Caenorhabditis elegans: one gene and its partners. The protein of the gene in region 4 interacts with the protein of the main gene of each other region in a pairwise test. Each region holds a gene or a part of one and is shown on either strand. Other genes may lie near its edges. The genes, in order: hcp-1, hcp-2, unc-83 and nud-2.

Region 1 (7,065 bases), on a different chromosome or scaffold from region 4:
GAAATTTTTCCGCCGCCACTGTGTTTCCGCAAAGATTCTCCCATTATTTGATGCGATCCTATTCTTAGACGCTGATATTGGTGTTGTGAATCCAAAGCGAAAAATTGAAGAGTTTTTGGATGATGGAATTGATGTTACATTCTATGATAGATTCTATAATTGGGAGATCATGGCTGGATCTTATATTGCAAGAAATACTCAATATGCTATTGATTTATTAAACGGTTAGTTTTTTATTCGAAATTTTTGTGATGAATTTAATAAAATTGCAGAGTTTGCTGATTATGAGTACAAGTTACCAAATAGTTTTCATGGAACGGATAATGGAGCACTTCATGTAACTTGGTAACTTCCTATTTCAATTTTTATTTTATTGTTTAGATTTTCCTTGCCGAAAAGTTGTTCCCACAGGCTTCTGCAAATACGAAAGTATGCAAAAAAGCTTATAACAATTCTAAAAATTTTGATGATCTCTTCACCTACGAGTCATGTATCCGAGCAATATTTGGCGTATCCACTGATTTTGGAAAAGTTAGAATTATGAAAAAAGTAGGTTTAAAATTAATACCACAACATCTACAATATTAACTGTACAGGGAACAGGATGGGCTAAAGACGGCTGGCTGACATCAATGATGTGGCATCCAGAGTTAGATTTCATGTTCCATGGTTGGAAAACGAATCAATTGAGAGAAACGCCGAATGTGAAGCTTGAGTTGGCAAATTACCTGAATTTTTTAAAAATTATTCAAGTATTACAGGCCTAGCCAAATGGGACGAGATTTTTGGTATAATCCTTTGAGTGGGCCTATAGATCTTCAAAAATGTAGTCCTCAAAATTCGACATGGTCATACGATTCACGACTTCGTGGAGATAAAAACGAAATTCTGAAAAGCCTGAGAATGTTCGAAGAAAATGTTGCATTTCAGCAAGTTTTGTCTTATATCCGGATGATGGGTTTATTGTTTCAGTAACCAGCAATTTTAAACTTTAAATTCAGATTTTGTGTATGTATATTTACTTGAATTGTAAGACAAGATATATTTTTGGAATAAAAATTTGTGAAAACTACATAAAACGCAAACGATGGTTTTTAATTTTTTTGTTCCAATCAACCCCATTTTTACAAGGCCACAAACTGCAAAATAAATAAAATATACCGATTTTCACTTGTAGACCTATTATATTTTGACCTTATGGTCGGTAAGAGCAACCGTGCTCCACCGCACATGGCGGGAAGGTTTCAATTTTGAATCACCACGCGCGGGAATCCGGCACTTTTCATTTCGTTCATTCATTCATTATTCATGAACGTTCATTTTCAGTTATCTGACATTTGGAAAATACTGTTTTGTTACTTTATTTGTTGCCACATAACGTCAAAAAGTTTCACACGCAGTATTTAATAGATATATTTCTAAAAACTTATTTTCCCCTTAATTTCCTGTTTAGTACTTTTTTCCTCCTTTTTTCAAATCACGCGCCCTTTTTGATTTTTAATATCCCTTGTGTAATTTCCATAATCATTATTGCTAATTTATAGATAAATCGACGTTTCTTTCACAATGGACGAATCGCCGATATTCGACAACGAGAACAAGCGCTCAGCTGGAAATGTAAGTTGAATTTTCTCAAAATTTTAATTAAATCAATGACAATATAAATTATTTCAGAAGCGCCAGCAAACCGAGTCGCCATTTTCCGCCGCTACGCCTAAATCACGACTAGGAAGAGAACCGAAACGCATTTTTGGAACTTCGTCGGGCAATATGGCCGATAGCAACCTGGAGGAGACCTGCCTCGAGCATGATTCCCGCCCGTCTTCTGCTTCTTCTATCACCCCTGCCGACAACACAAGTCTACTGGATTTGTCTACAGTAACAGCTTTGGCTACTGATGATGCATCCTTCGTGGGAACCAACGATGCTTCCATCACTCCGGGCAGCAATGTTGATGTGAATTTAGAACAATCTGAGCTCTACGACACCTCAAATTGCACGAGCAACCTGAGCATGGTTCAAGAAAGCGACGAGACGGACGCCGATGCCACACTGTCCAATGATTTCGATAATCAATTGGCACTTGACGGAGAGACTACGCCTACTGCTTCTCGTACTCCAATGAGCCAGATTCTGAGCCGAGAATGTACTCCAACAGTATCTAATCCACAGCTTCTCACGGAAATCGCCAAAGGAGTAGATCAGCCTACAAAGCCAGTCCGAGATGTCCCCCAGTCCCCAGTGCTTCCTGTCAAAGGTCACATTGACTTCTCACTGTAAGAAATTGTCGTATTTATAGCTTAAAACAAAATAATTTCAGACACGAGTTTGAAATGTTGGAGCAGAATTCCGAGCATGAGGAGTCAATCAAACTTCTTCAGTCGCAGATCGAGCTTCTCCGTCAAAGTCACAGTCAACAGCTCAGTGAGATTCAAGAAGCTCGAATTTTTGAGGAAAAGATGCTGACTCAGCAAGTAGATTCTGCAATGAAAAAGGCAAAATCTGACCGCGAAGCCGCTAAGGCACGAGAACAAGTTCTCGAGAAACAAGTTCAGGAGTTACGCTTGAAGCTGGAAGAGCCTGACGAAGAGAAGAATCAGTTGGTACACAATCTTGCTGCTCTGAACGCTCAAATCGAGGAGTTGACCCAGAAGGCTTTGAAAGTAGATTCGATGCAACAAGGAGCGACTGCTTCGGAAGATCGGATTCGGGAGTTAATTGGAGGCCATCAAGAAGCAATCAAACAGCTTGAGAATACCAAACAAATGAACGAAAGTCTTCAGCGCGATCTAGTAGAGAAAGAAGCGAGATTCAGTGAAGAGGTTTTTATAGAATTTATTGCCGAAGTAAATTTAATTAATTATTTTTAAGATGGAAAGGATTCGCACCGAATCACAAACAACAAGTGAATCGCTGAAGTATGAGCACGAACTTGTTCGCAAGATGATGATTGAGGATATGGAGAAACTGGAGGCAGAAGTACTCGCCCTCAAATCCCAACAAGCAAACTTGGAGATCCAAGAATTTCACGACAAGATCAAACAACTTGAATTGGAGGTGCAACTGTCGTCTGAGAACAAAGAAAAACTTCAAGCAGAGTTAATGGTGGTACAAGAAAAAGCTTCCGAAAACATCAAGAATGCCGAGGAAAAAGTGAACGGCCTTGAAGCAGAGGTTGGCTTAATTGAATAATCACAAATCAATATATATATTTTTATTTTTCAGGTCGAAAAGCTGCGATTTGAAGCCACCAATAATTCTCGTGTTGTGGAGCTCGAGCAACAACTCGAAGAGTTCAGATCGCTCATGATTAAAGAGATTTCTGATTTGGAGAACCAGTTAGAAGCTGCAAAACTTGAGTCAGGATCCACGAGTGAGCCCAATGCACAGTTGGAGGCATCGCAAGCTACAATCCAGGAATTGACTTCTGAGATGAAGATGCAGTTGGAAGAAGTGAAGAGACAGTCTGATGAAAACAATTCGTTGAATGTACATCTGACATCTTCAAACGAAAAAATTGCGGAACTAACGTCTTCATTGGAGATGGTGGCTGCTCAACTCTTATCTTCACAACAAGAAACTGATGTTGCCGTCACTAAGGTGGAAAATCTGGAGTTGAAGATGGAAGAGGCTCATCGAATGTATTTATTGGATATTGAACTGTCAAGAGTAAAGATTGACGAACTTCAGTCTTCTATTGAGGTGCTTTCAAAGCTTGAACGTGAGGTTCAGTCATCCAATTTGCAAAACGAAGAGTTGAAACTTTCTCTGAGGAATTTTGAAGAACTTCAAGCCGATCTTGCCATGTCGAAAGCAAAGAATGAAGAACTCGAACAGCAAATTGAAGATTCTAGTCGGGAGTTTTCTGTCATCACTGAAGCAAGTAAGGAAATGAAGTTGAAATGGGATTCGTCTGAAGCTCAGATGTCTGAAATGATAGCTTCTTTGGCCGCCTTCCAAGAAGAAATGCAATCAACTCAAGCTGATGCTGTCGCTTCTGAAGATAAAGTCAAACAGGTGGAATCTTTGTTGGAGAATTTGAAGGAACCTTTGGAGGAATTAAACAATCTTCGTGCCAATTTGAAGGATTCCAACGATAAGATTTTGGATCTTCAATCTCAACTCGAATTGGCTCAGCAATCTTCGGATCTCGCTGATCGTCTTCAGGAGGACTTGAGAACTTCAGATGCCAGGGTCCAAGAATTGAATATTCAAGTGTCTGAACTCGAACAGCAAATTGAAGTTTCTAGTCGGGAGTTTTCTGTCATCACTGAAGCGAATAAGGAAATGCAGTTGAAGTTGGATTCGTCTGAAGCACAGATTTCTGAAATGACAGCTTCATTGACCGCCTTCCAAGAAGAAATGCAATCAACTCGGGCTGATGCTGTCGCTTCTGAAGATAAAGTCAAAGAGTTGGAATCTTTGTTGGAGAATTTGAAGGAACCTTTGGAGGAATTAAACAATCTTCGTGCCAATTTGAAGGATTCCAACGGTAAGGTTTTGGAGCTTCAATCTCAACTCGACTTGGCTCAGCAGTTTTCGGATCTCACTGATCGTCTTCAGGAAGACTTGAGAACTTCAGATGCCAGGGTTCAAGAGTTAAACGTGCAAGTCTCTGATCTTCAAAGCGAGCTTGAAACTGCTCGCCAGGACACCAATGCTGTTCAAGTCGTTATGGAAGCTCTTAAATCAGAACAAGGTGAATCGTATGAAGCTCTTCGTGCTGAACTTGACGCTGCTGTTCAAGAAAAAGGCAGATCTTCTGATCTCGTAACTTCGTTGGAAGGTAAAATTCAGGAGTTAGAAACTGCTATCGAGAGTAGTACAGCTGAAAACGTTCAAAAAAGCAAAACCATCCAAGACTTCACCGACAAAGTGTCACTACTTGAATCGCAAATCTGTGAGCTGAAAAGTCAAAATGAGCAGATGGAAATTGATACTAACTTGAATATGGATCAGTTATCCGAAATGTCTTCTCAGTTGGAATCTGCAAACGCCGAGCTCATTGAACTGACGAGGACTTCCGCTGAGACTATTGATAAGCTTCGTGGAGAAGTAGAAAAGTCTACAAAGGCAATGATGGATCAAGAAGAACATCTTGCGGAACTAGTGGCCAAGATTGAAAGCCGAGATGTTGAGGTTTGACGAAATTTCTCTTTTATATTTATAAAATTGTATTTTTTCAGAACGCGGATCAAGCTGCAAAGCACAAGGAAGAACAAGAACGCCTCCAATCCGTAATTGATACTCTTCGGACATCACAGAGTACAATCGAAGAATCTCAAGCCAAGTCAGAGGAGTTGAATTCACGCATTAAAGAGCTTCAAGCATCAATTGAGTTTGCACAAAAGGCCCTAGCTGACACCGAAAACGCAAAGCAGGAGAAAGTCGAAGAACTCGAAAAAGTTCAGGAGCAGATGCTAAACCTCGTGCAAGCTTTCGAAGTGGAGGTTAGTTTAACGGACATTTTTTTAATTCCAAATTTATTGATAAATTTTACAGAAAGCATCGATCCGATTGGAGTGGAACTCGTCTTTGAGCAATGCAAACGAAAAACTCGAGGCTGCAGAGGAAGCACTCTCTCAGAAAGAGAACACGATTGTTACTCTGGAGTCGCGGATCGAAACAATCTCACAGCAGTTTGAGGCTCGCCTGGAAGAAGCAAATGTCTGGAAGTCGCAGGCAATGCAACTCGGCACTCTCACTCAATCGCTTTCGCAAATGCAACGACAGCTTGGAGAAATGCATGAGAAGATGGAAGCATCTGACCGTCGTGTCATTGAAGTCGAAGAACAAGCTCAACACGACATCACTTTGATTCAAGTTGAAAATAAAGAACAGTCGGAAGCACTGGAACAAGCACATTCTCGTATTCTGGAACTTGAGGAAAAGTTGGTGAGGGCTGAAATCGAAATCCAGCGATTGGAGAAAGTTTGTGATGCATTTGATGATGACGAGCGGGAGTATAAGGACAAGATCATGACACTTCAGTCCGAGATCAAGCAGCTGAAGGGTGTAAAGACGCCGCCACGAGTAATGGGACTGATCGAGCAAGCAAGACTTGGGTGAGTTGAACATGTATTAAAATTGACAAGTTGAGCGTTTTATTTTCAGTGTGAAACAACTGAGCCGCGAAAGCTCACTTGTCGAACCGCAAAACTCTGCTCATGAGGATGCCTTCGAAGATGCGCAGAACTCCTTCCAAGATCGTCTTCAAACCATGTCGAATACTACTGCCCGGCAGATAGATGCTTCAAATCATCATCCGGAGGATCACGTTTTGGAGAAGTCGGCTCGCGAAACTCCATCGAAGAAGAATCGATCAAACTGCCAACACCAATAGGCTATAAGATTCTCTCACCCCACTAGATCTCTCACCGTCCCCCACTAACATATGTGCCATGAATACCCGTTCTGAACCCATATTTACTTGTCAAATATTATTTGCTTTTAGGGTCAGAATAAACGGGTTTTTAAATTTATCAACGATTTTTAGTCTCATTAAAATACAATCAAAGAAGATCCTGAATAAAGGTGACGTCATTTATAGTGAAAAAGTGATATATTACAGCTCAGAAATTTCACAGGATTATTATCATTGCAAATTTTCGCGAAGTTCGATGTTCTCTCCTTTCGCATGTTCAACAATCCATTTAATCAATAGATCCTTCGAACTGATAGCGTCTAATTTGATAGTCCACTCCAAGTTGTTATCTTTGTTCAGAATAATTCCAACATTTGGTTCAGCGTTTTCTGAATTAATTTGATCAGTTTGATCAGAGGTAATGCCAACTGGAGATGTCAGTTTCACACGTATCTTCTCATCTGTGCTACGTGGTACATGATGCTTGATTGTTAACAGTACAGGCGGTCCACTTCTTGTATTCTTTACACTAATCGTCTGCTCGGTGGCATGAGTTGAATGTTTTGTGATGTAACCGCCTTCTTCATGGAACTTTTTGGCTGGCTTATATTCGATACGAATGGCCGTGTCCACGCCTAGAGAACAGGTGAATCGTTCACCTGGTGACACATCTTTCATGTGACTCTGAAACATGAATTGCA
Region 2 (6,893 bases), on a different chromosome or scaffold from region 4:
CAAGACGCAGTCACAATGACAAGAGAGTTTAAAGTAGCTCTCGATGACTCGCCATTCAATAATGTGATCCACAATTTGTCTATAGACGGGACGAATTTCTTGCAGAATTGCTGGCAATGAGGATTCTGTACACTGAGTAGAGATCTAAGAATTCGTGGCCAAAGCGGATTGTTGAGGGAATGATGAGCCTCAATCTCTGTGGCAAAACATTGAAAAATGTCTAGTTTCTGAATTCGAGCAAGTTTCAGCAGAGACGCCAATATGTCCAGGTAATCAGCAAGGCAATCAGTGTGTGTACTTTGAATAGAGTGTTTGATTCGCCGCTGTAACAATTCCGAGATTTAATTGTTTAATATTCTAATTAACTCACCATGCAAATCTCACTTGCTGTCATACATAGCCTCGCAGGAAACTCATGTATATCATGGTTTGTCGATAAATCTAACAACAACAAGGAAAAGTTTTCTAGTAGTCCAAACTTGTCATTTGCATCATCGATTAACTCTAAATAAATTATGAGCCATTGAACTGGTTTTTGTCGAAGTTCTTTATGCATAATCAAAACTTTGCCATGATCCTGTAGAAAGTGTTGTATCTCCTGAAATTGATAAATTATACATTCGAAGTATAAAAATGAAATTACATTCAATAGCTTTGGAAACGTCATGTGATTGGTCGACTTCTTCGCAGTTAATGAGTTAAATGTGGCAAACAGTTCATCAATGAACAGGGCCTGATCAAGAATAGAATTGTGCAGTTTTTTATATTTTAAGATTGTCAATCCAGCACGCAAGCAATTTTCGGTCATCGAGCAATCATTTTTCAGTTTGTCTTCCAACTGTGATCGGCAGTGAGGCCAAAACAGAACCAATTCATCGAAATGAACGCATTCTCCTGCGTTTTCTCCGAATAAAGTTGAAATGATATTCCACTTCAAATGATATCTAAAAAATCCTGAGGCACCTAATGAAATAGCTGAAGCAATTTCAGGAGTGATTAATTGTGGCAGAGAAGACGAAGGTTCGACGTCACAATATTTAACAACTTCCAGTAATCCTTGCAGGAAATAAATAGTTTCTCTCGGGTCTTGTTTCGTCACAGAGATCATCAGTACTGATAGAATTCGCTGAAATAAATAAAAAACATTGAATTATTGAATATAATTCTTGCTAACGTCAAAACATTTTGCCAATTCTTCATCCTCAAAGGCACACATCGACGCAATCACTGATTGAAATAATCTTATTTTTTCCTCTGGAACGAATATATTAATACAAATACTAAATTGTATTTTCTACCTGAAGAAAGTTCCTGCTTCTCTGTTATTAAATGTAATGTAAATGTTATACTCTGAAGGATCATTCTGAAAAAACATAAATATAATCATCATCTTCTACATTTTCCAACTCACATCTTTTCCATGAACTCATTTTCGTCTAACTGCTCGATTCGGGAAACGAAAGATTTCGATAACAATTTAGTTATGTCATCTAACAAGAATTTCATTTTTTGTCTGAAAATGTAAAATAAAAAAGTTAAGATAAGATTTAATAATTATACCTGTTGAATTCTTTCTGCGTCACATATTTTTTCGCCGTACATAGCAGAGCTGAAACATCCTTATCGATATTCATTCCCAAATATCTGAAAGCCTGCGCACGTTATTTCAGTGGTTCGATGGATATTTAACAATATTTAAAATATATTGCTAACGTTTTTGTGATAATATTATGAAGAATTCACTAATACTTACTAAAAATAAGGAAACGAACAAAGTTTAAAAATAAATTCCTTCCGCAAAAAAAATTAAGCAAAATATAGAGTTCGATTGGATCGAATATATTCGAATTTGCATTGCAAATACAAACTCGCCCTATTGAAACGGCGCGAAATTTTAAACGATTGCTCCAGTTTTTGTATTGTTTTGTTGAAAATTATTATTTTCTCGTGAAGTTCCAGATTCACTTCGTTTTATTTCGTTAAACGTGGACTGTTTTTTTCAATAGTGCAATTCCCCAACTCATTATCGTAAATTCTCAGACGAATTTGATCAAATTCAATATGGAGGAAAGTACAAACGACGGCGATGAAAACAAGCCTGCAACTGGGAAGGTAAATTAAATATTTTTGTATTTATCAAAAGCAAAACAATTTCAGAAGCGACAACAGCTTGAATCTCCGTTTTCTGCTGCGACACCGAAATCGCGTCTCGGAAAGGAATCGAAAAGGTTTTTCGGGCGTTCTGCTATGAATTTGGCCGATGGAAATCTTGAAGAAACTCGCATTGAGCCAGACTCGCGCCATTCGTCTACCAGTACCTCCGACTCTATTCTTGATGATTCTTCAATCTCCAATTTTTCCACACTCGCCCCGCCAAATACCTCCGTTGATGATAACAGTGTCTGTGAACCGCCAAGAGCTTCCTCAGCTCATGATGTCGATCCTAATTTGGAACAAACGAAGGTTTACAGTGAAGACAGCATCAGCAAAGACTGTAGCATTGCTGACGAGAGTTTTGCGACTGATGGTGACGTCACACTGGCGAACGACTTCTTCCAACAAGCAACGATTCAAGATCTAGAGAATACTCCGTCAACACCACTTCGGAGCCAGACACAAGTTGGAGACGAAAGTACACCAACTGCTCCTTCCCCACTTCGTTCGAAAATTCCAATCGAGAGTGAGGTTGTGCAGTCAACTTCTGTAGAGTCAGTTCAGTCAACATCTCAGCATGAAAAATCGAGAATTGAATATTCTTTGTAAGATTAATTTAAATTTATTCCCATTGTTAAATTGTTTATTTCAGATATGAATTCGAAATGCTGGAGAAAAATATCGAGCATGATGAAGTCGTTAAAGATCTTCAATTGAAAATTGAACTTCTTGGAGAGAAACATAGACAAACTCTTGTTGAAATTAAAGAAGCTCGTGAAGTTGAAGAGAAAATGCTCATGCAACAAGTGGAGGAGGCTGTAAAAAAGACGAAATCTGAGCGCGAAGCTGCAAAAACTCTGGAACAACTTCTTGAGAAACGGATTGAAGAGCTCGAGATGAAATTAACGGAGCCGAACGGAGAGAAACTACAGTTTGAACATCAGTTGGAAGAGTTGAAGAGTCGTTGTGAAGAGCTTACTGACAAAGCACTGAAGGTTGATGTCATGCAACACAGCATTGAGGACTACGAAAAAAAGTTTGTGGAGTTGCAAGAAATGAAAGAGGAGGCTGATGAACAACTGCAAAAGGCTAAGGAAGACATTGAGACACTACAGATGAAGTATGTGGAATTGGAGACAACGATCAACAAAGAGGTAATGCAGTTAATATCTTGCCTGAAAATTAATTATATTTTTTCTTAGGTGTTCTCCAACTCTGAAATTGAAACTCTGAAGTCGGAACATGAAATTGTTCGTAAACTGATGTTGGATGAAATCCATCGTCTTGAGAATGAAATGTCTGCTCTTCAACCGAAGAATGATACTACTGAACTGGAAGAACTTCAGAAGACTCTCGATGATCTCAAAATTGACTGTTGCAATTTGACTTCAAAAATGCTTGAACTTCAGTCAGAGCTCGTAGAAGTGAAAGAGAAAGCCACGTCAGAAATTGGGGAAGCTGTTCAGAAAAACGGTGAACTCCTGGAACAGGTTCGTAGTTCGAGTTTAGAAATAATTGCACTATATTTCTTATTTCAGATCAATAGCCTTCGCGTCGAAAATGCAAAATTGGTGGACATGGAAGGTCAGCTAAACGATGCACATCGTAAAGCGGAAGATAAAGATGTTCGAATCAGTGAACTATTGACTACCATTGAGTCTCTTCGTCAAGATTCTGAGGCCAGCGATAAACTTCTAATGGATTCGGAGTCTACACAAAATGAGTATTCGCTTGCTCTTGAAAACACAGTCTCTGAGTTGGAAACAATGCGAAGAGAATATAAGGCTTCGGTGGATAAAGTTTGCAGTCTTCAACTGGAACTAGAAGAAATTCAACATGAAACATCAGTTGAATTGGAAGAGGCGGAAATAAGAATTAAAGAATTGGAGTTGGCACAAGAAGAAGCTGTAAAAACTGGAAGTTCACAGCTCAAGAAGCTAGAAATTGTTCAAGAAGATTGTCAGAAGCTTCGTGATCAATTGAAGGAGGAACAAATTCAGCAACTTGTATCTCTTCGCGAGACTTCTGAAGTCATGCACCAGGAATCGGCTCGACATCAAGAAGAAAAGTACCAGATTCAGAGCAAGTTGATGTCGACGGAAGCAGAAGTTATTGAGCTGAGATCCTCTATTGATTCTCTCCAAGCTGAAGTTCGAGTGCAGTCAGATTCCGCCGCAGACCAAAAACACATCCTTGAAGATTATTTGAGAAAAATTCGGCAAGCAGAGGAAACCAACGAAAAACTTCGCTCTGATTTGGCCTCCTCTGAAGAACAAATTCTAGATCTGAAGAATCAACAGGAATCATTGATTGATGATTTGAAGGAAAAATTGCACTCTGCAGAAAGTACGAATCAAGAATTGCAGGTCTCTCTGGAGATGCTCAAGATAGAAGTCAGTAATGCTCGTCAGAAAGTGATGGAGAGTGAGGTTTTAAAAGAATCTTTCGAAGCCCTTCAACTGGAGTTGTCGGCATCACAAGAAGTTTCTCGATCAGTGGTTGATGCTGCAGTTCAAGAAAAAGATGGTCTTCTGAGACTGGTGGATACGCTGAAGTTGAAAATTGAAGATACGGAAAAGTCTGCTCAAGATCTTCAACAAAGCTCTGTGGAAGAGATAAAACAACTTCAATTGGACCTTCAAAATTTCAAACAAAATGCTGAAGTTCTCGAATCTCTGAATGAAAAACTAAATTCTAGTCACAAGAGGGATATGGTGGCGTTGGCATCTCAACTAGAAGAGCTTCAACATAAACTCGTCGTCGGAGAATCCCAAGTGGAAAATGTTAAGGAAGAACTGATTGGAGCTAAGATAATGAACAAGGAAATGGTTGATGAACTGAATGCGAAGCTTGGGGATGCTCTTGAAGGGATGGAAGAACTGAAAAAGAGCCTAGAAGTATCCGAAGCTAAAGTTCAGAGAAGAGAAGAAGAGGTTTAAATTCCTTAAGATTTCAGTCGAATTAAACTTGTTTTTCAGCTAATCGCTCAAGTATCGAAACATCGTGATCAGCAGGAGCAGCTTCAATTGACTCTCGACGAGCTCAAATCGGCTCAACATTCCACGGAAACATCCCGTTCCCAGTCAAATGAACTTGCTGCTCGTATCGAAGAGCTTGAAGCTTCCATCTCCTTTGCACAGAAGGCTCTTCAAGATGTAGAAGACGTCAAACATCAACAAGACATTCAGATATCTGAGGCGAATGAGGCAATGGTAAAGCTGAAGCAAGACTTTGAGACAGAGGTATATTCTTTCGAATTTCGAACAGAACATAATTTATTTCTTTTCAGAGGACATCACTTCAAAACGAGTTCAACCAAACTGTTTCCGCAGACAAAGAGCAGCTTGGTCATGCTGAACAAATGATTGCTCAGAAAGAAAAAGAGATTATCACTCTCCAAGCTCGAATCGAAGCGATGTCTCAGCAGTTCGAGGAGCGCCTTGAAGCATCGAATGTTTGGAAGACCCAAGCCATGAATGTCGGTACACTGACTGAATCGTTGTCTCAGTTACAAGTACAACTTCAACAAATGAATGAGAAGCTGGTTGCATCGGACAAATACGCAGTTGAAGTGGAGCAGCAAGCTCAGCATGATATAACTGTGATCCAGGAAGAGAAGAACGAGCAATCAGCGGCTCTAGAAGAAGCACTATCCAAAATAGCGGAACTTGAGGAGCAACTGGGAAGAGCCCAGAAGGAGATTGTACGACTCGAGAAGGTGTGTGACGATTTCGACGACGTTGAACGAGAGCTGAAGGATGCCATCTCGAAGCTTCAATCTGAGATAAAGCAATTGAAAGGAATCAAGAAACCACCAAAAGTAATGGGACTCCTTCAACAGGCCAGACTTGGGTAAGTCTCCATGATTTTCGACAAAACTCAGATATGTAAATCTTTGATATTTCAGAGTGAAGCCGCTGAGTCGTGAACATTCTCATGCGGAGCCACCAGAGCCTGTTGTTGAGGACAAGTTCGAAGATGCTCAGGATTCGTTCCAAGAAGAGTTTTCCCATTCGCCAGATGCTATCACGTCATCTACGGTACTCCATCCAGATGATCATCTTCAAGAAACAACTGCAGTTGAAACGCCGTCGAAGAAGGCGAACCGCTCAAACTGCAACCAGCAATAATTTGAACTCGTATTTTATTTATTTTTACTTTTTGTGTGCCATTACGTATTTCCGCGCACTACTCAACTGTGAATGTCTTTCCGGGTCAGAATAAATGTCTTTATGTGAATTTAAATTTAGATGATTGTGCTTTTATATTACATAGTCTTCTTCTTTGATGCATTGAATTGATTAATTAAATCCGAAAAAATACAGATCATTGATTATATTGAGTTTGTTTGATTATCATTTAAAAAATTGACCGTGATATTATCGAAAAAATACGATCGCACAAATTTCTCATAATTTATTTTTGATCTACCTTGTTGACTAGGCTCCTCCCCTTCCTTCGACAAGACGGCCACAACAAAATAACAACGGCAACAAGATTGGAGTTATGAGTTGGACTAACGAAGGACACGCCGACGGACCACATCTACCAAGAATGCAGAGTTCTCCCTTTGAAAGAAGAATATAAGCTCTCGACGCAACAGATGTACTTGGCAGCGATCAAGTCAAACACGCACCCGTGCAGAGACCTGGAAGCAAAGCGCCAACTGGAACGAACCTCTAAACCGCCAAGGATCCCGCCGCTGAAGCTATCGGACTCTGAAAAGCTCAGACTCGACA
Region 3 (4,858 bases), on a different chromosome or scaffold from region 4:
CTTCAATTAACTGATCAGCTCAGGCATAATTTTCTTTTGAAAACTTTTTAATGGCTTTACGCATTTTGAGAAGGAGCTGAAGTTTTCTAACTGTTTTTGAAAGTGTTACCCCTCTATGAGTCACTGGGGGCAAACGAGAAGCGCAGTTTGGGCGACATTTTGTTGCATTATCAAATAAAAACGGTTGTCTCTTCTTTTTTATTATCAACCAATGCAGAGCCAACATTCTACCAAATTGATAGTAATGCAAGTACTTGCCGTAGATTCCCTCAAACATTTGAGACAAAGGGCCTAAATAGTTTTAATTGTGAAACAAATTAGACACGACGTTCGAAGTTTATTCTGCAGTTTTGGTAATGCGTTGTAATTTTGATGTTAGTCTAGAAACAAATGTTTTCTTTTTGAAATTTTGCAATGTTCTTCAGAATATTTCAAGTATGAAATTTCTAAATTGTACTTCAAATCATTTCTAAAACTCGTAAAACATTCGGGCACTACAAAGTGTTCCTTTTCTACTTTAGTATCACAATGTTTCGCACATTGGTGATAAATGAGCCGGGGCTGTCTGCCGTTTCCGACTCCATTAACTTGGGTCCATTATCCCATCGTTTCACTGTGTTTCTATCACATTTATTGGGGGAACTTCCTGTTGCAACAAAACCAATAAATTCGAAAAGTGTCAGGGCCATGTGCTGTTGGACATCTATTCGTGAACATTTTCAAAATTTCGATTTGTTCCTTTCCAGTTTTCCATAGATTCAATTTTAATTGAAAAATGAATGGGTGGAAACTTGAATTTAAAAAAAAGGAATTTAATTCAATTTTCAACAAGTTCAAAAATATTTTTTCCAACGTTTTGTTAATTGATATTTTCCAGAACTTTCTAAATCAAGTTACATTTTTTTTGAAAGCTACAACCTATTTTGTAGTAATTTGGAAATTTCTTGGACCTCGTTGTGATAATTTCCATAAATTTTGCTTAATATTTTTTATTGGAAATCACGAGACTTTTTCACACAAAATAAAATCTTCCAGCTGATTTCCCTGGTCCAATCTCTTTTTTATCACTTTCACACCTATCTCTTCATATTTTCATATCTTCATAAATCTTCATAAAAATTCATAAAACAATATCTCCATCATAATTATCATCTTTTATTATTTTATCAGGTGTCGAAAAGAAACGAAAACTGTGTGAATGACATGATAATCCATCATCATCACAAGCTTCTCTTCCCAACTCTCTAGATTCTCCTCTCTCATCAGTATTATTGTTTATTAAGGCGGAGACTTCGGATTGGGGGGCAGATTTCGAGCATCTCACACTTTTCTATGTTTATCTTTTAATTTGCGAACATTTTTGCGGGCGATGGCTTGTTGTCCAGGGCATGAAATCCATGGATTTTTATTTGGATTTTCAAAAACTGGCCTAACAAATTTTATGGAAACCGTACTATACATAAGTAAAACATTTATGAAGTTTTTCGTGTGTTTCTACATTTTTATTAAAAACATTTTTTATTATCTTTAAAAGGATGTTTTACTGCTCGACACAATTTTCATAGATTTTTGGTAAACTAGGCTAGTTTTGAATTGAGTATATATTTTGCAAATTTTCTATCCTCAATATGACTTGAATTTCCGTTTCTTGACTTTGATCTCAACAGAAATCTCTTCTTGAAATTTATTTTCAGCTCCAATGAAACAACTAATCTCTTTTTCTTTGTTTTTCACGAAATTTTTCCTATTTTGTTCTACACACAAAAAATTGTATATACTTTTTCTATTTTTAAATTTTCACCTCATTTCGTTTTGATTAAGTATTTTTCCGTCTAAACTAAATTTTTCCAGATCCGTTTCTCATCCGTGATCATATTGCGCAGATGCGTAATTGATCGTCCACCCCTACCAGTACAGTATCCCACGTCTGGATACAAACTTCTCTGATTTTTTTATTTTTATTCCTGGACACCGAAAGTAACCCGAAAACAGGTTACGAATGGACGTAATGGACTCATTCTCGGAGGTCGAGATGCCCAATGATATATCATCGGAGGACCATCTTTTGAAGGTGAGGCAGAGCTTTAAATTTTACGAAAAAAAAATACTTTAAAATTTTCAACGCATTTTCTTGCATATTGAATTCATTTGAAAAGTAAAATTTCGTTAAAAGTAGGAGAAAAAAAATTAAAAGTTCGATTTCTTTATTCAAACCAAAGTAGAATGTAGTTTTTTTCTAAACCAAAACGAGCGAAAATAATTTTATTTTTCAAATCTATTTGATTATTGAAAGTGCCTTTTTGAAAAATGCTTGAGCATTTACCCTTGCGCCATCAATTGTTTGCAAAAAGCTGTCAAAAAGCCCGAGAGGCCGAGTTTTCAATTTTGGCGCAAAAAATCCCGAATTCCACGCTATCTTTTTTTTTCTTTCGATTGACTAAAGACGAACGGCTGAAGTTTTTTTTCGCTGTGCTTCAAAGATTTATAACTGGAGGTGGAAAGAGTTAGTGTCGCACATTCAAATTCCGCATCGTTTAGTTTTTCTTATCGAATGTTTTGATCTGGTGGGGGACGACGAAGTAAATTGAATTGAAAACTGTGGTTATCTTGAAAAGAAGTTTGAAGGAGAAAGTGTAAAACTATTGATGACGGGAGTTTAAATTTCAAGAGATTTTAAGACATTCCCATATTTCAGTGTGCGAAAATTTATCATTAAAAAATATTAATTATTTCTATGTGCTAAGTACATTTATTAGCAAAAAAGCGCAGAATCAAGTTCAGACAACATAATTATATTGATCTTCAGAGATTTTGCACATAATTTTGAGAGCCATTTTTCAGGAAAAACATAAAAGTTATCAAAATTGGTCCGCTAAATGATGTGTAAAACCTTTAAAATGCGATACTTTTTAATATTTAAAAGATTCGCATGAGAAATAATTGACTGACACCTTAGGTTCCTTGTAAAATATTTCATTGTATTATTAGTAAGTATAGGTATTTCCCAGATTTCCTTGTTAAGGTACCGCAAAGTCAACACATTCATGGACACCTTTTTTTGTTGACTTACCCCATATTTCTCTTTTTGTTTCCAAAAACAATATGCGGACCATTGAATCCTCACGCCATTCACACACATTCCCAGAGCGCGACTACTAGTAACTTTGTTTGGCAAAAGCTGTTAGTAAGAAGAGAATGATTCCGAGTGCCCAATACCATAAGTGTTTCTCGAGGTGCGCATCTCGGCAGTGAAGAGCAACTTGCAAGTTCGAGTGCATTTCTCCAAACTTGGTTGTTCCTACACAACGATTCCTGTGCCATGTTCCTTGATCCTCTCAATTTTGGCAATTGAATCGATTAACGTCAGGTTTACTCTTCGTTTTATTGCAAAGTGGGCCGCCCGGAAGGTCGAGAAATCGTAAATTGACTCGGAATTACCAATTTTACAGTCACACTGAAAGCAAAGCACTTCTTTTTGGTAGAGCGGGTGGCCATTGATTGTCGTTAAATCGTTTGTGAGGGTCATTTAGAAAAATGGGCGCATATTTTAATTTTTCAGAATAATTTTGACAATTTTAAATAATGAAAATAACAAATTACATTTTTTTGAAAATCTTGTTTCACCTTTTTTGGTTTTTTATTTGTATCAAATTATAAACTGTTTTATTAAATTGCACTACGCAGCTGTACAAGATCGAATTGCGCGTGTACAACCATCGTTAAAAATATCTCCTAGATATCTTTCCAGCTGTTACTTTGCCCATTTTAATGATCAATAATTTAATTTCCAGGTCATCGAATCGTCGGCTGAGGAAGTGGATATCTTTTTGGAGAACTGCTCCTCGCTCTACAATTTAATCCTCGACTCGTTGCACAACCTCACCTCAAAAGTAAGTCTTATTTGTTTTATTGCTTGTGTCGTTTGGTTGCCATGGATCAAGTGAAACTGGGAGAGTAATTAGGTGTAGCTGGCCTCAAAAGAACCTCCTGTTTTTCTCGATTTTCTTCTAGTTTTTCTTTGAACAAAGTTTTTTGCTTAGCCCTCTGATATCAAGATCAAGTTTTGCAAACTTGAGGCAGTTGTCCATTTGATTGAGCAAGAGATAGCAATAGTTTAAGGGGTCATCAATTATCAAAAAGAGAAACGTTACGAGCCTGTCAATTGAACACAAGCCTGGTACGAAAATATTACGGCAGATGTGGTGATGGATAACTGAAAACATTCACTTGACAAGCCTTTTGCCTGTGCTTTAGGGAATTTTTGAATCTTCCAAATACAGTTTTTACATAAAGTTTACCAGAATTAATTTCTGGTTGAAGTTTCAAGACTTGTTGATCTAGGAATGATAAATTAAAATAAACCCTTCCCATTCACAAAAACATAGCTAACTTATTCTTGCTCTAACTAGTAAGTTTTGTTCACTCCATGAACTACATCTAAATTTAAGCGGTTAATCATAGAGTAAACAACAAAAAAAAACCAATTTTTGAAGGTATAAAGTTGTACTTCTCAATATCCGATGATTAAAATTTTTAAAAAGAAAGTATCCTCAAATCGTTTGCTCTTTTTCAATGAGATAACAAATGACCACTGCAACTCATCTCTCTGTGCTTCTTATCCTCCCACACTCATTCAATATACTCACCCAATTTTTGTGGCAATTGCCGTTTGTTTGGAAGGTCACCCATTAATCAAATGTAGTTGGTTGATTGTGCAACCTCTACTACTAAACATTTTGATGAAGATCCTTCATTTTATCTGCCACTGACTCCTGAGAAAATGCCACACATTTCGATTCAATTAGCTTTCCTAAATTATTATACCAAATAGTATCGAATAACATCTCGCCCCCCGAAC
Region 4 (3,730 bases):
CACAGAGCTCTCGCTCTTCGATTGGCACTTTACGAGTGAAGTCAAATACTGATTTGATAGGCTTCTCAATGTGGAGGAATCTTTTGCGACGATCGCTTTCTTTTTTTGTTCACCTGTTCGTACTATTCAATTCTTCAGCAGAGTGATGTTAACCTTGATCGTGTCATGTCGACCTGAATAGGAAATAGATGAATCGTATAGTTTGTGTGTATGTGAAGCACTTTTCTCGTTCATTTACATTTTCGAATATCAAATTTAGGTGTGGTACTGCGGCGCGGGAAAAAACGCGAAAAACAGATTATACCACCCCCAACTCTCCTCGTGACGTGGCCCAGTGATTCGTGAATCCTATATTAACCGCTGAAATTGGTCATTTATTATCTCAACCGGTTTCGTGTTTCTGTTCACTAATTCGTACGATTTTCTGTGTTCACCACACCTAATCCAATTAGAACTCAACAACTCGATGAGTCATGCGTAGGCGTTTTGGAATTTCATTTTTTAAATGTTTGTTAATACATTTCATTCTCTCCAAATTCTCACTTACATCATTAGTCTCAATCGTTACAACTAAATTGACCCGCTTAACTTGAAAATCTTTCAAATAATATGCTCAATATATTCTGCATTCCTTATTCTATTTGTTATCAGTTATTATACGCGACCATTGCCGCTCCCCATTCCTCCGACTGCTGCCTATCGTGAGTTTGACCTGAATTTCGTGTGGGAAATTGGACTGTTATATGAATTTAATTTCTATTTCCGAAGTTTAATTATCGATTACTAAAATTGATTGCCATTTCTGGAATACTCTTTGAAGAAATTTACCAATTTTTCTTTTAACACAGATTTTCTTGAATGACTATTCTATTCTATTTACAAAAAGTGTTAATTTTTTCGGAATTAGTTTCTTATAGCAGATTTCTTTGAACTTCATCAGTGTATTAAACCCAAAAAACAGTAAAATTTTCCTTCAAAGTATTTTGAAATCTTCAAAGGTTATCTGATCTTAAAATTATTGCCTATTGGTGTTACTCGCACAGCTGTTCGACTTTTTGTAGCGGAAGTGCGGACGAGCTATGGGAGCAAGGACAAACACAGAGCACACGGCGGCCGGAGCAGCCGGAGCACCCCCACTTTTTTGTTTGCTCGAATGCCTTGTGTCAAAAACTTTGGAGGATTTTCCATCTTTCCTCAGAGAGATGACTTTAGCTGTCTATCAGATGATGGCGACCTTAGATATCCCGATTTATAAGAATACTGAGACTTTTCTTCAACATCGTTAAACCTCAAAAAACATCCATTTGCGGTAGCAACTAATACGTAGTTGCTTCTGTTTTCCTCCGTTCGACCAGTTCTCTTTTTCTCTCTTTCCCAAATGTCCATTCTATTCTCTCACTTTTTGTCCACACGTGGCCGAACGTTGTAAGGGTTTAGTGTGTTCACAGGCGGCATTATACGTTTTTTCCTACGATTCATAATTTTTGTTGAATATCCTGAACAATTTTCTAAACCTTTAATATTTTCAGATCATCAGAAATCAATGGATTTGTCTGAGGATCAAATTCGCGGACTACCGCACCATGAGCTTCTTGGTCATTTCTTGCAAATGCGCGAAGAGTTTAACGAGTTCCAGACAAGTTCCGCGGAAATTGAGAAAATGATGGATTCAGAATTGGATGATTTGAAAACACAACTGAAAAAAGCAGAAACCAGAGTACAGCAGATGACCACAGAGCAAATTAGGAACAAGGTTGGTACTATTTTTTACATTAAAATTGAAAAAAAAAACTTTATAAAATTTTTCAACTATAATTTGAATTTTGTGAATTTTAAAGGATCGACAGGACGATTCCCGTGTACAATTTGCACAAGTCGAAGAGCAATTAAGACGAGAAAACTCACATCTTCATGAACAATGTGAAAGTCAGAGAGAAAGAATTCGAAAACTGGAACAGAGAAACGATGTGCTCGAAACATCAGAAAGAAATAAGGAATATCTAGCATCTGATCTCGGATCGAAACTGGATCATGCTATTGAAAAGATAGCAATGTTGGAAAGTGAGCTTTATGAACGGCAAGTTGCTGCTGAAGAAATGCATAGATTACGAGAAGAACAACTTCGAACAACAGAACGGCCACGTTTGATTGTAGAACCATTGAGGAATGATCCAGAAATTCTGCCGGACGAGCCATCCCCAGGTCCAAGTAAAGAAGAGTTTAAAATGAGTAAGTATTTGTCGCATTTTGAGAATGAAAATAACTAGTACTATTTAAGGCTCGGAAGATGTTTTCATGGAAGACGTGCAGCACCACGAAGATGTTCGAATGGAGGAAACTATTGCAAAAATTGACGAAGTGCGCATCGATGACAATAAAAATATTCAAGAAAAAGTACGTAAATTTTCTTTTTTTGGTGGATTTTTGAAAGTAAATATCCAAATATTAATTCAAAGAAGACCTGCAAATTTCGATCAATTAATAGCTTCACACCTTATTTCGGAATGAAAAACATTTAGTCGAAAAACTCTTGCAGCGAGTTCTAATTCTTTTTTCCCTCACAACTATAAACGATAGCATCTCTAGATGCAGAATAGACCGAAAAAACAATATTTGCTAACCCATTTATAGTTCTCAGCCAACATTTACATAGCTTTCAGAGCCAACGAGTATCTACCGGTACGGGCGCCGGTGCTTGCATCAATCGAATCGTCAAAGACCTGATGACAAAAGTCGAGCGGCTCGATTCAATTTTATCGACGATTCGCGTGAGCAACAACTCGTCTAACAACAATTCCAGTCATCTTACAACGACACGGGCTTAACATTTCATTTTTTGGTTTTTCTCACCTTTCTCGCATACTGTGACTTTTCATTCACTCAGGGATCCTCCATTTCATCATTTCCTTCGTTTCTTTCCGTTATTATTCTTTTCCATGACATCCTGTATCATGCTTATGTTTTATTCCCACCCAATTGGTATTAGACCCCGATTTTATTTGCCCCGCCTTACTGTTGCTCAATATAAGTTCCACGTTCGCCATTCACCCACATTATTTTCCAAATTTCTAAAGTGCCTACATATTTCTAATTTTTCTGTTAAAAATTTATATATCCGTCACCATGAATAGTTAGTAAAGGAATGATTTCAAGAAAAAGTGAGCAAAATAAATAAATAAATACAATTTGAATTAATCTTTCTAGCAATTTTTGGAGACAGAGAACGCCAGCATTCGTCCTATCACCGAGTTGTCACAACAGCACTCAATCGATTTTTCTGAAACTGTCAGAATACAAACATCCTTTCGTGAACGTGTCTGGCAAGTGAAAATGGTCAAATCCGAAGAAAATGCGTTAACAAATAGAGCAATTGACGAAGGATTAATGGGATTTTCGAGTTGTATCACATGCCGATTGAGACCTCCAAGACGACTTCTTTCTTTTGAAATATCTTCTGGAGACAGACGAATTGGTTGAACTTGCTCACCATATGGGACCTAGAATTTAGGAAAAAATTTAGTTTATCTTTAAAAGATGCGGATTGTGGAATCTAGTCAGGAATTATACAAGTTTTGATATAAAATATTAACCATCAAGGGAGTATTTACGTTTTTCAATTTTTTTTGTGGAAAAAATAATTTTAAAAGCCTCTGAAACTATTTAAAAGATTACCTCAAATCTGAAATGCTTCTCATGACCATCATCTCTTGTAAGTATCCATTCTCTACTT

What was found.
Region 1: the proteins of nud-2 (region 4) and hcp-1 interact in a two-hybrid assay, tested with the Caenorhabditis elegans proteins (3 studies listed by BioGRID).
Region 2: the proteins of nud-2 (region 4) and hcp-2 interact in a two-hybrid assay, tested with the Caenorhabditis elegans proteins (one study listed by BioGRID).
Region 3: the proteins of nud-2 (region 4) and unc-83 interact in a two-hybrid assay, tested with the Caenorhabditis elegans proteins (one study listed by BioGRID).

Annotation. Positions count from the first base shown.
Region 1 is NC_003283.11:6,592,660-6,599,724, forward strand, and holds hcp-1 (HoloCentric chromosome binding Protein), read left to right. Parts: upstream 1-1,534; 5' UTR 1,535-1,566; coding exon 1,567-1,617; intron 1,618-1,674; coding exon 1,675-2,276; intron 2,277-2,320; coding exon 2,321-2,822; intron 2,823-2,871; coding exon 2,872-3,174; intron 3,175-3,225; coding exon 3,226-5,139; intron 5,140-5,186; coding exon 5,187-5,450; intron 5,451-5,502; coding exon 5,503-6,065; intron 6,066-6,114; coding exon 6,115-6,343; 3' UTR 6,344-6,549; downstream 6,550-7,065. Other genes in the region: ZK1055.2 (Nucleotide-diphospho-sugar transferase domain-containing protein), read left to right, coding at 2-224, 273-337, 382-549, 597-715, 762-975; ZK1055.6 (Protein F37C4.5), read right to left, coding at 6,596-7,048.
Region 2 is NC_003283.11:9,643,821-9,650,713, forward strand, and holds hcp-2 (HoloCentric chromosome binding Protein), read left to right. Parts: upstream 1-2,038; 5' UTR 2,039-2,061; coding exon 2,062-2,112; intron 2,113-2,157; coding exon 2,158-2,759; intron 2,760-2,806; coding exon 2,807-3,308; intron 3,309-3,356; coding exon 3,357-3,644; intron 3,645-3,692; coding exon 3,693-5,087; intron 5,088-5,132; coding exon 5,133-5,396; intron 5,397-5,443; coding exon 5,444-6,006; intron 6,007-6,061; coding exon 6,062-6,284; 3' UTR 6,285-6,391; downstream 6,392-6,893. Other genes in the region: atl-1 (Serine/threonine-protein kinase ATR), read right to left, coding at 1-323, 371-598, 644-1,126, 1,175-1,254, 1,299-1,363, 1,412-1,513, 1,561-1,634.
Region 3 is NC_003283.11:6,463,214-6,468,071, forward strand, and holds the start of unc-83 (Nuclear migration protein unc-83), read left to right. Parts: upstream 1-1,851; 5' UTR 1,852-1,999; coding exon 2,000-2,071; intron 2,072-2,220; exon of another isoform or gene 2,221-2,420; intron 2,421-3,173; exon of another isoform or gene 3,174-3,354; intron 3,355-3,791; coding exon 3,792-3,890; intron 3,891-4,751; exon of another isoform or gene 4,752-4,858. UniProt on the Caenorhabditis elegans protein: Cargo-specific adapter that is involved in nuclear migration during development and thereafter.
Region 4 is NC_003279.8:7,857,217-7,860,946, reverse strand, and holds nud-2 (Protein nud-2), read left to right. Parts: upstream 1-1,529; 5' UTR 1,530-1,543; coding exon 1,544-1,753; intron 1,754-1,838; coding exon 1,839-2,229; intron 2,230-2,278; coding exon 2,279-2,394; intron 2,395-2,660; coding exon 2,661-2,825; 3' UTR 2,826-3,191; downstream 3,192-3,730. Other genes in the region: apb-3 (AP-3 complex subunit beta), read right to left, coding at 3,201-3,497, 3,673-3,730. UniProt on the Caenorhabditis elegans protein: Part of a complex with lis-1, which is recruited to the nuclear envelope by unc-83, where, in turn, it recruits dynein to the nuclear surface and regulates nuclear migration in hypodermal precursor cells.